Arabidopsis thaliana: one gene and its partner. The protein of the gene in region 2 interacts with the protein of the main gene of each other region in a pairwise test. Each region holds a gene or a part of one and is shown on either strand. Other genes may lie near its edges.

Region 1 (5,571 bases), about 21 Mb from region 2:
TATTTTTATCTTTAATTAATGTTTTGGGCAACAAAATTGCAGCAAGTAAAAGCGGTGAGTAAATATGGTGAGGCGCTCACGCCTCTAGACGAAGCATCACTGGTCATGTATCAGCTTCCATCAGCACAAGAGATGCTTCCGATTCTCTCCATATTACCTGAGGTAACAGATGTTGCAAAACTGAACTTGATTTTACGAGTTCATTACAGTATTTAAGATTTTGTGATACTAGAATAATTGTCCTAACGTCTTTTTTGGGGTTTGAATGAAACGTGGCAGCTTCCACAGGAATCACAACAGAGGTTGCTTCAGTTGCCAGGTGACTTGGTTGGAAGATTGGTGACTCGGGCTTTTGCTAGAACCATTCGCAGGATTTTTCTTTGATGTCCGATTACAAATAAAAACTTGCAGATTTTAGACAAGACTACTGTGATTTGAGTTATTTATAATTTTTACATAAACTTGAAGAGAATCAGAGGAATGGCTGTTTTGATCCCACAACAGCATATTTATAAAAGAAAAGCATCAACATCTTCTTCATCAAATAAAACAATCTCAGTTTTTGTTTTGTCAAAGCTCGTTTTAGTCAACCTTATTTTTTCCCCATATTTATAACTTGTAAGCGTAGCCGAAATACATGTGTAGTGAAAATAAAATGTTTATTAAAATACTAAAATCTTCACCAGTGACCAAACCAGGGGCCACAGGATTAAAACCAACGAACGAGTACGAGAGTTGTGTGTTAATGCAGGAAACAAAGACAGTAAACAAAATAAAAATCAAAAGAGAGAGGCGAACACAGTTGGTCTGAGACTTTGAACTTATAACTTTTCCTTTCTTTTATATTTTGATGGCTGAATGTTTCTTCTATAAGACAAACTCAGCACAAATAAATGCTACACTAATCGTACAATCACTCACCTCAATTCAGGTGAGAGAGCCTTCTTCTTTCTATGGTGATTTGTATGCGGAAAAATATCCTTTTTGATCTATTCAATGAAATCGACCAACCGTGTTGCTTTCCCCTGTATATATCAGAGAGGTGAAACCGAGACGAGTATTAGATTCAAATATCACAGAGAAGAATGACAGCAACACAGGTCGATGATATATATATAACAAACCTACCTCAATGCTATGAAGGCTGCATCATGTGGTCTTGCTTGAGGGCTTGTTGCAGCTTTAAGACCTCTTGTTGTTGCTCTGGAGTCAGTAATCTCAACTGTTCTGGCGTAAGGTTCATTACTTGCTGGAGCAATGTTGACTGAACATCGGGAGAGATATGTGTCTGGAAGAAGAGTAAGGATTTTACCGATTAATAGATTTATTCAGGGCATTCTAAGCGACATTAGATGATGTGATTGATAATACCTGGGGAGCTTGTGCTTGATTCGGAAGCATTGAATTAGACACATGACCTCCAGGGAGTGAAGTAGTTCTCCTATCCTCCACTTTCATCATCTTTGATGGTCTGTTCATTGATTGATGAGGAGGACCCTCGTTTATTCTTTTGCCAAAATTTAATGATACCGTTTGCCCACCTTGCTGTAATGTAAGTAAATTACACATGAGAAGTTATGTTCAGAGGAATCCAAAAAAACAAATAAAAATATTGTGGAAACTCACCTGCATCACAGAATTTGGTAATGCTTGGTGGGGTACTTGAGATGGCTGGATAGCATTATTCGGAACTGAATTCTGACTACTATAACCTATGTTGGTGGAAGCTGGAACCACTTGCTGGCGTTGGAATGGAGCGTTTTCGACTTTAACTTGGGATCTAGGAGGAGGATTCACAGAAGAAGGACCTGGTTGTGCTACTAGTTGTGGAATCTGACTAAAAGGTTGTTTAGAAGATTGCTGGACAGGATACTGACTATGGGGAGCACGACTTAGCTGCTGTGACCTTTGTGCCAGTGGCGGTAAAAGGTTTTGACCAGATAATTGCGCATCTTGAATTGAAGACCCTGTCATATGACTTGGGGCCTGAACAATATTTGGCGACTGTAACTGCACAATTCAAGAATGGCAATAGTCCTCTTAAGACATGACAGATAGATAAAGAAGGAAGTAGCACAAAACTGTTCGATAAGATGGAAAACTTACCACTTGCGGACTCACAATCCCAAGCATTACCTGCGCCTACAAGGGTAGACAAAGTAAAGGTTCAAATATGGTGTAAGTATCATAAGAAATATTTGTCAATAATGAAAAATGATTTGCACAATAAGAGGATGAGTGAGTACCAGGAAAACAGCTTTTAGCAACTGAGGTCTTGAAACCAACAACTGTCTAGCATGTTCCTTATTTTGTGTAGCCATTAACTGACATTGAGAGAACACAATCACATCACACAACTCGCTTCCAATAGTATAACAATGCACCCAAAAAAAGAAAGAAAAAACGATATCAAGATTCACACCTTAATGGACGATATAATTTCAGTAAGCTGACTTCTTGACATCTTGGCTAGATGAAGAGCCAGGGGATCACTAGCTGGAACCTGCAGATTACTTTGCGTAAACTGCGAACCGACCTGAGGACCACCTAGCGCACCCGCTATAACAGATGCAGCTGTTGTAGCAAGGTGGAGACCAACTGGCTGATGCATATTTGAATCTACTGGCCCTCCAATCTGCTTTTGAGACTCTGTCACTAAACAGCCAAAAGAAAGAAGAACAACGATAAGTTTGTGTTCATCCAAACACAATTGCAGTCAGTAAAGTATCAGAGACTGAAAACAAAACATACCAGTAGTAGTAGATGGCAAACCAGGTCCTCCTTGACTCTGAAAACCCAAATTTACCATCTTTAGTTATAACTTCTTGACAACAGTTAAAAACCATCCAACATTGAAAGAAGAAAGAGAGAGAGGAGTAACCTGATCACGGGTTTTGTCAGTGCCTTTGTCATTCTCAGCAAAATCAACTCTTAATTGACGACCATTGATTTCATAACTCTGAAGATTACGACGAGCACTTAATGCTGTTTCTTCGTCTTTATACTCACAAAATCCGTAGCCTTTTGGTTTACCAGTTTCTCTATCCGTAACTAATCTGAATCCAATAAAGCAAAGTTTTTTAGGCTTCTGTGTTTCGTTTGTTTGAAGAAAAGTGTTTCCTTTATCAAAACCCTAAATCATAATTGAACGATAAAACTGACCTAAACGAGACAACAGGTCCAACTTCTCCACAAATTTCTCTAAGTTGTTCCTCGGTCGCGTCGTAAGGAATGTTCCCAACTAAAATAGACGAAGAAAGTCGAAAACTTTAAGCCAATTGAATCCAAAATCGAAGAGAATTCACAGAGTGATAATGGAAGAAGAAGAAGAAGAGTGAGTTACCAAAAACGCAGCGTCGTTGGGATGATGATGAAGCCATTGGGGATTATTAAGAGAAGATAACGAAGAAGAAGGTGAAGCGCTGCTTCATCTTCTTCCTGCTAAGTAACGGGTCGAGATTCAAATCGAATTCGAAACAGTTGAGTTTCGTTAAATTCTTCTGAAGAGAGAGATCTTTCGTATTCGTCGTCGATAGGAGACTTTTTGTCTTTATTTTTCAGTTTTTGGTTTTAAAGAGTTAAGAAGAGAAGACGAATGAAATTATTTAGCAAAACGATTAGTACCGTCGTCGTCGATATTTATTTATATCTCTCTCTACAACAAGAATAAAAAAAAGAAAGCCGAAAAAGGAAACTGATATTTTGGTTAAAAGGAAATTTATTTTAATATCTTTTTTTATATGTTGGACAAAAATATTTGTATAGTTATTGATTAGGTTGTTATTAGTTACTGACCGTCTAGATGGCACCTAGGCGCTAAACGGACTCATATGGCGATTACATCAAGGATTCTTACTTTCTTTGTCCATTCGGTATGCATGTCGAAGGCAGTGCGATATCACTAAATGAGGTTTGATGCTTTAGGTCCTAAGTTCACAACATGTCGCAGCCACCACTGATTCTGCTATTCTATACTTTTGGAGAAAACCAAGCATTTCCATAATATTTATACGACTTTTAAAACTGCATCATTCGTTATATTTATGGGAAAAGATGGTCACATGATGGTGAAGTCAGAGAAAAACATGGGAGTAAGAGACATCCACACAAAACACTCGGAGAAGCGTTTAAGATCAGACCAACCAAAACAAACAAATATCGAGACCTTCTTACATAAAGCGTGATCGGAGGAGCATCAGGTCAGGTGTCAGGCAATCTCATTTGTACAATCTCAGCTGGTGGACGCAATGTGCAAACCATTTCTCTTGTCTTCCCAAAGTAAACCTGCGCTTTTCACCAAACAATTCTCAAACCCTTGAAGCTACGCACATTACGTTATTCTTTTCTCTTGGTCTAGATTAATTCATGAGATGTTAGAAAGTGATTTGATCTAAAACTTATCCTACAATTCTCGTTTACTTATTTTGGGGTCTGCCAAGCACCACAGAACAACTGTAGCATGAGCTTTAACTAACTAAGCAATCCGAATGCCGGTAATTAAGAAACCATTTTCAGCATATATGGCGGTTACACAAGTAGACGGAGTTTGTGGAATTGGTGCAGGGATTGGAGGTAGAACCTGATCAAGTGAGTTCCTCAGTTTGCCTTCCAATTCTTCAATCATTCTCCCCATATTGCACAGGTGTCCGTCAGCTACTGCTAGCTCCATTTTCATCTAATTTCAACAGTAGCAGAATAATGTTATTCTTTTACAGATATTTGGTTTTCCTCCATTGAATCACAATTCATACCAGGAACTATTTATCTATGAAGGCATGGGCTAAATAGAAGCTAATACTTACTTGTCTTCTAATTGATCCAGATAAGCCGAATTTGCCCGAAGACTCATCATCAGTTGTCAGAGAAAGCATGATGGTACTTGTTAAGCAATATTGTGCCATTTCCTCCTCCTCTGAACCAACCTAGTTGAGAACCTCAGGCATTAGAAGCAAAATATGAAGTCTCATTAAAGAGCTGCTTAGGAAACTATGATAAAGTTGCAATTGAGGGTGGTATGTGTTACAAAATGGGCAACATTTTAAAACACATAAGGCACGCTTGGTAATGGTATGTTAAGAGAGTCACCTGTATAACATGTATGGCATCCCACGCTCCTTCCTCCAGGCATCCCCTCCGACCATGACCTGACTTTGACCCATCTTCGAAAAATAAAAACCAGAACAGCTCAGGTAAAGAGTTTTTATTGCCTAACATTCAGTGTTATTGAACTCTACAGAAAGAATGTACCTTTCTTGATAAGGAAACATGCCACAAAGCCTTCATTATCATCCTCCCACATGTAGACTGAAGATATACCACCTTCATAATACCTGGAAAAGAAAACTGATCAACACAGGTGTTCTTTTGGTAACTTTGCAAGCTTTTTTCAGTCTCCAGTCTAATGGATACATTAGAAGAATGAAACACATATCATATATTGTTAAACCATGAGATAAATCTCACGACTAGGCAAGCCTTTTTTTCAGATCAGATGCTAACTATGTCTCCGTCTTAGATAACTCAAATTACTTTCACTACATGGTTTTCATGTTGAACGAGGTAGGTAAAGAA
Region 2 (7,801 bases):
GTAGGGCAACAATAGTATTGCCAACATTTCTCTGGATGGGTGAAATAAGCATAATTACTAATTTAGAACAAAGATATTTAATATACGATAAAAAAAACTACTACCTATGTTCCTAAATCCTAACAGAACGATGTTTTAGTTTTTTCGCACATGAATAAGTAATCTTACTTTTTTGCTAAGTTTTTGTAAATTTAATAATATTAATTATGTTTTTCTCTTTCTATATTGATAACATATGAAAGTAATAATGATGTTGAAACAAAACATTAATCAATTATGAAACAAAAAATTCCAAAATATCAATCTATTAGACTAAGAGGCAATACTTAATAGGGGACAAAAATCTGGTCTTAAAGTGTGCTACAAAATTTTCATGCACACGAATAAAAAAAATTGTATTACCAAATTAAAATGTAAACCCATGCATACTTTACGTACATACAGTATATTTTTTTTGCTAAGAATGTAAATATTTCATTAAAAATGAAAACAATTTAGGTTTACAATCCAAAGATTATACTCCTAAAGAAATGGTCCCATGACAAAAAAAGCAAAAAACATGGAAGCATAGATCTTAGAAACATTTTCAGTCCATCCACTCAAACATAAGCACAAATGCTAATGGAGTAAGACGAAGTGATGACGATTTTGAAGTTCTTCCCGGCTCTGATGCTTGAGACGAAGGGCGAATGCAAATTGAAGAGCCGAATTACCAAGATACAAGACACTAGAAGCCTTTCACAGGAGGTCCGAGACTGTGCCGTCAACGGCCCGTCAAAGGATTCCATGAGCTCTCACAGAACGAAACCCCACAAACCAAAGAATGTGAACAATGTGAGCTCACCCTACCAAGTTCCTTCCCGAAGTCGCATAGTACAGAGCTAGATTTTTGAGAGCTAGATTTTTCAACTCAACGCCACACTGAACACCAATAGTCTTACTAACTCCTCTAGTGCCTAGTGAAAAAGCAACCATAGCAAAACGCATTGCAACGCAAGAACTACGACTCTAGGCAACATCAATGGCAAGACACAACAAAACCAGGGCTTATTAGCAAATACAGTATACTATGTATTCGCCCTATATAACAAATATATTAGTTAGGATTCAAACTATAATAAATTACCTATACTATGTATAATAACTATAACATTCAAATGAAATTTCTTCATCTACGTCATTTAAATTAATTTAGATATGATGTTCATTTCCATAATTATCTATTAACGTTGAGTATAAAGTATTAGGCTCATATCTCTAAAGTTATCATTGTATCGACTTTAGAGCTAGAAACTTAAATTGATTTGATTTTGGAAATTGATGAATTAATTAATATCTTATATTACATGTCTATTTCATTGAAATATATCTTCTTATGATTAATTTCTTATTTTACATGTATCTTTATAAGTGTTAAAAGTGAATTCACGAATAAAAGCTATATAATGCTTACTAAAGTGTATATATACAAGCATTATTAGTTTAGTACATGTGGTACGAAAAATGGAGAGTAATTCATGATGTTTCCAAAGAACCTAGGCCAAAATAGATTTCAATCCCGCCAAAGATCTATCAGACTTCAAATTCGAATACACCAACTCTCTTGAACCTAACTTAACGGCTTAACGTTTTATGTACTTAGGAAATTAGTGAAGGAAAAAAAAAAAGAGAGAAATATTAGAAATCGAAAAGATATTGTATGTACCGTAATCGGTCCAACTTACTTTTAATGGGCCAAAAATCTAGGCCCGTAATATTTTTAATATAAGTTTAGTAGAATCCACGTGGACAGTAGAACCGCGGAAAATATTCGTTTCCTGAAGACGGACCGGTTGCTTTGAGTTTCCCCGTTCGACAATAGGGTATCACCGACCACCGTGTTTCGGGCAGACTCGTCGGAGGAGTGTTAAAATTGTTGAATCTCAGATTAGGGTTTACTTCTATGGTAAACTTCTGAAGGTCTGTCTGTTTTCCTGATCTGAGGTCCTTCTAGGGATTTTTTTTTATGGCGTTGAAGCAGCAGAAGCTTTAGCTAGACTTGTCGGAAGATTGTGACACTTATTGAATCTCAGATTAGGGTCTACTTATATTACCATTGAGTGGAATATTTGAAAGACTGTTCTTCCGAAGGTGAAATTCATGGCTGATAAGTACATCGTCGAGGAAGCAGAGGCTTTGGCCAAGAGAGCTTTGGTACAATTCTTTCCCCAGCTATATACTTGTCTGACTTCTCGTACTCTTTCATAAAGTTTAGATTTTTACTTGTTGGGTTTCGTAAAATTGTGTCCTTTCCTCAGCATTCACCAATTGCACAGGCGACGCCGATCTACGAGCAGCTTTTGTCACTTTATCCCACTTCTGTAAGTTTCCCATGACTTTGCTTCCACGTATTTTAAGAGTTTCCTGATGTTTTTGGTTAATTGTGAGCTCCTTTGTACTCTGTAGGCGAGATTTTGGAAGCAATATGTGGAGGCACAGATGGCTGTAAACAATGATGATGCTACCAAACAGATATTTAGTCGTTGTTTGTTGACCTGCCTTCAAGTTCCTCTTTGGTAATGCCATGTTACCCTTTATTAGTCGTTGATAAGAGTCAATTTAACATCTTTTCGTCTCATTGTTGGGTTTCTTGCTCAGCTGCAATGCAAGTCTTGCCATCTCCTTGGATATAATTCTAACATCTTATTCTCTCAGGCAATGTTACATTCGGTTCATCAGAAAGGTCTACGACAAGAAGGGAGCAGAGGGTCAAGAGGAGACCACAAAGGCTTTTGAGTTTATGCTTAACTATATTGGTATTGCTTCTCTTCCGCAGTTTTGGCTCTATTTTGTTTGTTTTTCATTTCAATCATGTCTCATACATAGAGGGAATTTTTTCCGTTTTGTGAGTAATGAATACAGTTATGTTTAGTAAACAATATGATTTGATCAATTTTATGCTTAATATAGTTGCTAATGATAACTATTCATCAGCAATAGCAAGCACATAGTTACGCTTCGTGTCTATGTAGACCTCTAGTTTCCCTTTATCATGCCAACACATAACACAACTTGGGCCTTACAGATGGTTGTTTATTTCGATTTATGAATCTCCAGGGACAGACATCGCATCAGGGCCTATATGGACTGAGTACATTGCCTTTCTAAAATCTCTTCCGGTTCGTTATATCACTCTAACTTTGTCCTTGATACTAATAATTTGTTATTGCAGAGAAACTAATAGATTCCCATGCAGGCTCTTAACCTCAACGAAGATTTGCATCGGAAGACTGCTCTTCGAAAAGTGTATCATAGAGCTATATTAACTCCGACCCACCACGTTGAACAACTTTGGAAAGATTATGAAAACTTCGAAAATACTGTTAACCGTCAATTGGTAAACTTCTAAGAAATTAAAATTATGTGGCTTCTTATTTTCATGAAAAGAAGCAGGTACGAACTTCATTCTCTTGGCTTTGTTGATGGATAATCTAATCTAATCATGTGAGCAGGCAAAAGGACTTGTAAATGAGTATCAACCAAAATTTAACAGTGCCAGGGCTGTATATAGGGAGCGCAAGAAGTACATTGAAGAAATTGATTGGAACATGCTTGCTGTCCCACCAACAGGAACTTCCAAGGTAAAGAATTTATCATCCATTGCTTCTTTTTGGAACTGCTGAGTGCTGAATGTACAATTATTTTCTTATCTTTTTGAGTTCGATAAGATTGGATATATTGACTCTTAAACTGCCTAAAAGACATTATGAGCATAATTCACGTCATGAGATCATGTTATTAAGATAGGAAATACATATTGAGTATCATCTGCTTACTTTGCTACTTTACACCGTCTTATGGTTTTTTGCAGGAAGAAACCCAGTGGGTGGCCTGGAAAAAGTTCTTGTCCTTTGAAAAGTAAATCCCCAATTATCATATACAGTTTTTAATTTTAATATACATTCCATTCAGTGATGATGTGTGTTTTACGTATCTCCTTAGCCATTGTTTCTCTACCATAGCTAGATTTTAATATATCGCAACAGTTAATTGGTCCCTTGGTAGATTTTTTTGATTTTTTCGGTTTACGCCTAATGGTAAGACTTTTATATCTTGTTCCGTCTCTGTGTTTTGCCGATTAAGATTTATGATATTAACTAGAGAGCTGGAATAAATTACTATCCAGTTATGTCTCCAACAAGTGATGATGAGGTCTTATGCATAGAATTGTTTAACGAGTCCTTCTAAATATAACAAACTTCTGTATCTAATACAATTGTAAATTTCAGAGGAAACCCTCAAAGGATTGACACGGCCTCGTCAACTAAGCGGATTATATATGCCTATGAACAGGTATGCGAAGAGTCAGTGAGATGCTCTTGCTGAAATTTTGGAGGACTAATCTCCGAAATGTGTTCATTTCTGAATTGACTGACTATTACTCTGGTTTTACAGTGTCTGATGTGTTTATATCACTATCCCGATGTATGGTATGACTATGCTGAGTGGCACGTAAAATCTGGTTCCACGGATGCTGCAATCAAAGTATTTCAGCGAGCTCTTAAAGCCATTCCTGGTAAAAATCTAATCTATCCTTTTTTCTTTATGTCTATGAACTAGTTGCTTTATGAAGGATCAACTATTACTCTTTGCTTACCTGCTGGCTTACTGTTTTAATCTTATCTTCTATCTACTCTTAAGAAGTCTATTTTCTCTCTGCGACTCTTTTATATTTTTTACTAAGTGTCTACATTTCCCACTCTCGTATGTCAGATTCAGAGATGTTGAAATATGCTTTTGCTGAGATGGAGGAATCTCGTGGAGCAATTCAGGTTTTTATTTCTTGCTGCTGGCTTCTTGTAATTTAGCTTTATTAGTTGTCCGCATACTCGTTGCTTATAGTTGTATGATTTTGCAGTCAGCGAAGAAATTATATGAAAACATTTTGGGGGCTAGCACAAACTCTTTGGCACATATACAAGTAAGTACGCTCAAGTTTCAAAATTTAGGACTTGCGAAGATTGGCATAAACAGCATATCTTTCACTTTGAAATTGTTTCTTTTCTCTGAAAACATTCTCATATGATATATACTTATATATATATATATATATTCTTTCGCAGTACCTTCGTTTTCTCCGGAGGGCTGAGGGTGTTGAAGCTGCTCGCAAGTACTTTTTAGATGCTAGAAAATCTCCTAGCTGCACATATCATGTGTATATTGCTTTTGCTACCATGGCCTTTTGTATTGACAAGGAACCAAAGGTGTATTTTCTTACCCACTATGTGGTGGTCTATATGCTATTTAGAACTGCTTTTGTCTTGTGAAGGAGGTAGTGGTCGTTCAGTCAAGTTCAGAACCCACTCGTCTTATTAGTCTCTTAGTTGTTTAAGTTAACCAGGACCCATGAGACTTTTGTGATAATAAAGTCAAAATGATTTGAATATTGGGGTGTTTTGGCTATTGATGCACTTAAACTCTTCATTTGTTTGCAAAATACATGTACGTTACTTTTATGCCTCGTACATTCCTCTTTGTGCCTTCATTTGTTCGATTCTTTAACAAAGAATTAACATGTTCTTGCAAGACATATATACTAATGTAAACCATCTGACTTCAATTTCTATTCAGTTTCACAATAAAAATCCTTATGTTTGTATTTTTATGCAGGTTGCACATAATATCTTTGAAGAGGGGTTGAAACTCTATATGAGTGAACCTGTTTACATCCTTAAGTAAGTGTCACTGTAGCTTTACTTAGCGTTCCATTTTCTTAAGATACTTGGAAGCTCTTCTTTATTGAAGAAATATTGAGACTTTAAGACCTTCTCAGATAAAATATCCTCAAACTTGTTTCTCTCCCAAACCTTCCTAAGACAGAATTTTAACCATCTGGTTTTGCTTTGCAATCTAGGTATGCAGATTTCTTGACTAGATTGAATGATGATAGAAATATCAGAGCTCTATTTGAGCGGGCATTAAGCACGTTACCAGTTGAAGACTCTGCTGAGGTACGCTGATAGTGATATATTGTTTCTCAAAGCTGTTAAAGTATGCAGATTTTGTTCTTAAGCATGAAAAGAGACAACAAGGAAAATTACTAACCTGCTAATGAAAATAACCAAACCGAGCACCTAATTTGATTATAGCATTTCTGAATGCTTAAATATGATAATGGTTTAGCAATTGGAGGTGTAATCTTGATGCACATCTGAGCCTTATGAACAGTGGTGGGGATAGTAGACATTTAAAACTGAACTGAAAGAGTCCAATATTATTGTGGTTCACATGTAATACTGTTTAAAATGCTAGAACAATAAAGAAGACGACTGGTGTCAATGGGTTACGCCGTTATGCTAATTGATTTCTAGGATTAACTTTTTTCTTGCTCCATGTTTTGTAGGTCTGGAAAAGATTCATTCAGTTTGAGCAAACATATGGAGATCTTGCTAGTATTCTAAAGGTATTTTAACTCATTGAATGTTGTCAACGTATACGAGGAAAGCTACTATTATTAGCTTCCTGTGTTTTGTTAGCATTTTTTGTAGTTGTTTTTCGGTTGACTCCATTATGATGATAAGTTTGTTGAAGGGTCCAAACATTTATATCTATTCCATCTTACTGGCTTTTAGTTGCATGGAAGATCTAAAAATGCTGACACGTTCAACTTATTGCTAGAATAGACTATGTCAGACTCGCACCTCATAAAAGAGACATTTGATCAACGATGAAATTTACTGAAATCAGATCCACGATACATCCAGTATCAAGTGTGGCTGTTTGATGGAGTAGTCTGCTTATCTTCTTAGTTTTTTGCTCATAAATTTTCTTTACTATGACAACCTTGTTGTAGGTTGAGCAGAGAATGAAAGAAGCACTTTCTGGAAAAGGGGAAGAGGGGTCTTCTCCTCCAGAGAGTTCACTTCAAGATGTTGTTTCTCGGTACAGTTACATGGATCTTTGGCCATGCACTTCTAACGACCTTGATCATTTAGCCAGACAAGAGGTATTTTCCATGCAACATATCGCAATTAGCTCAAATAGCTACTAATGATACATCTAGTAAGTACTAATTCTAACCGATCAATGTGTTCACTATAGTTGCTTGTGAAGAATCTGAATAAGAAAGCAGGGAAAACAAATCTACCTCATGTTCCTGCGGCTATAGGTCTGTTCTTTTTAATTTTCTGGTGTGATGGATTATGTTAAACTTTGGTGATGACTGAAGTAAATAAACCGCCTTCTGGGCTGACAGGTAGTGTAGCTTCTTCGTCAAAAGTTGTTTATCCAGATACATCTCAGATGGTTGTTCAAGACCCGACAAAGAAATCAGGTATCTGATTTGCACTTTGCCGCAATATTTGGCTGCACGATGAATGGAATTGTTAACTTATTCTGAACCACTCATGATTTGACTGTAGAGTTTGCTAGTTCTGCAAACCCAGTGGCAGCTTCTGCTTCGAACACCTTCCCAAGTACTGTGACTGCAACTGCAACTCATGGATCAGCCAGCACATTTGACGAAATACCAAAGACTACTCCACCTGCATTGGTAGCATTTTTAGCTAACTTGCCTATTGTGGACGGTAAATCTCTTAAAAACCAACTCCAAGTTGTATCTGAACTGAGCACCTGAATAAGTGTCCACTAACCAACTAGTTTATCATTATCTTCTCAATTCGCAGGTCCAACACCCAATGTGGATGTTGTTCTGTCGATATGTTTGCAGAGCGACTTTCCAACAGGTCAAACTGTAAAGCAGAGTTTTGCTGCTAAAGGCAATCCTCCAAGTCAAAACGATCCCTCGGGTCCAACCCGCGGT

What was found. The genes of interacting proteins can lie anywhere in the genome.
Region 1: the proteins of CSTF77 (region 2) and CSTF64 interact in binary tests that used the Arabidopsis thaliana proteins (3 or more experiments, as listed by UniProt).

What each region holds. Positions count from the first base shown.
Region 1 is NC_003070.9:26,997,415-27,002,985, reverse strand, and holds CSTF64 (cleavage stimulating factor 64), read right to left. Parts: upstream 3,613-5,571; 5' UTR 3,381-3,612; coding exon 3,344-3,380; intron 3,242-3,343; coding exon 3,163-3,241; intron 3,057-3,162; coding exon 2,882-3,056; intron 2,789-2,881; coding exon 2,752-2,788; intron 2,656-2,751; coding exon 2,423-2,655; intron 2,325-2,422; coding exon 2,247-2,324; intron 2,143-2,246; coding exon 2,107-2,142; intron 2,011-2,106; coding exon 1,627-2,010; intron 1,546-1,626; coding exon 1,372-1,545; intron 1,289-1,371; coding exon 1,136-1,288; 3' UTR 1,129-1,135; intron 1,026-1,128; 3' UTR 528-1,025; downstream 1-527. Other genes in the region: AT1G71810 (Protein kinase superfamily protein), read left to right, coding at 43-162, 280-384; CPB (Subunits of heterodimeric actin filament capping protein Capz superfamily), read right to left, coding at 4,201-4,284, 4,580-4,675, 4,803-4,922, 5,086-5,159, 5,248-5,330.
Region 2 is NC_003070.9:6,110,610-6,118,410, reverse strand, and holds the start of CSTF77 (Tetratricopeptide repeat (TPR)-like superfamily protein), read left to right. Parts: upstream 1-1,793; 5' UTR 1,794-2,139; coding exon 2,140-2,193; intron 2,194-2,297; coding exon 2,298-2,360; intron 2,361-2,445; coding exon 2,446-2,555; intron 2,556-2,694; coding exon 2,695-2,795; intron 2,796-3,096; coding exon 3,097-3,158; intron 3,159-3,235; coding exon 3,236-3,376; intron 3,377-3,491; coding exon 3,492-3,620; intron 3,621-3,850; coding exon 3,851-3,897; intron 3,898-4,268; coding exon 4,269-4,332; intron 4,333-4,434; coding exon 4,435-4,555; intron 4,556-4,752; coding exon 4,753-4,811; intron 4,812-4,897; coding exon 4,898-4,960; intron 4,961-5,102; coding exon 5,103-5,243; intron 5,244-5,649; coding exon 5,650-5,714; intron 5,715-5,893; coding exon 5,894-5,990; intron 5,991-6,382; coding exon 6,383-6,442; intron 6,443-6,832; coding exon 6,833-6,985; intron 6,986-7,080; coding exon 7,081-7,147; intron 7,148-7,234; coding exon 7,235-7,312; intron 7,313-7,400; and 3 more. UniProt on the Arabidopsis thaliana protein: One of the multiple factors required for polyadenylation and 3'-end cleavage of pre-mRNAs. Required for the targeted 3' processing of antisense transcripts that triggers transcriptional silencing of the corresponding sense gene.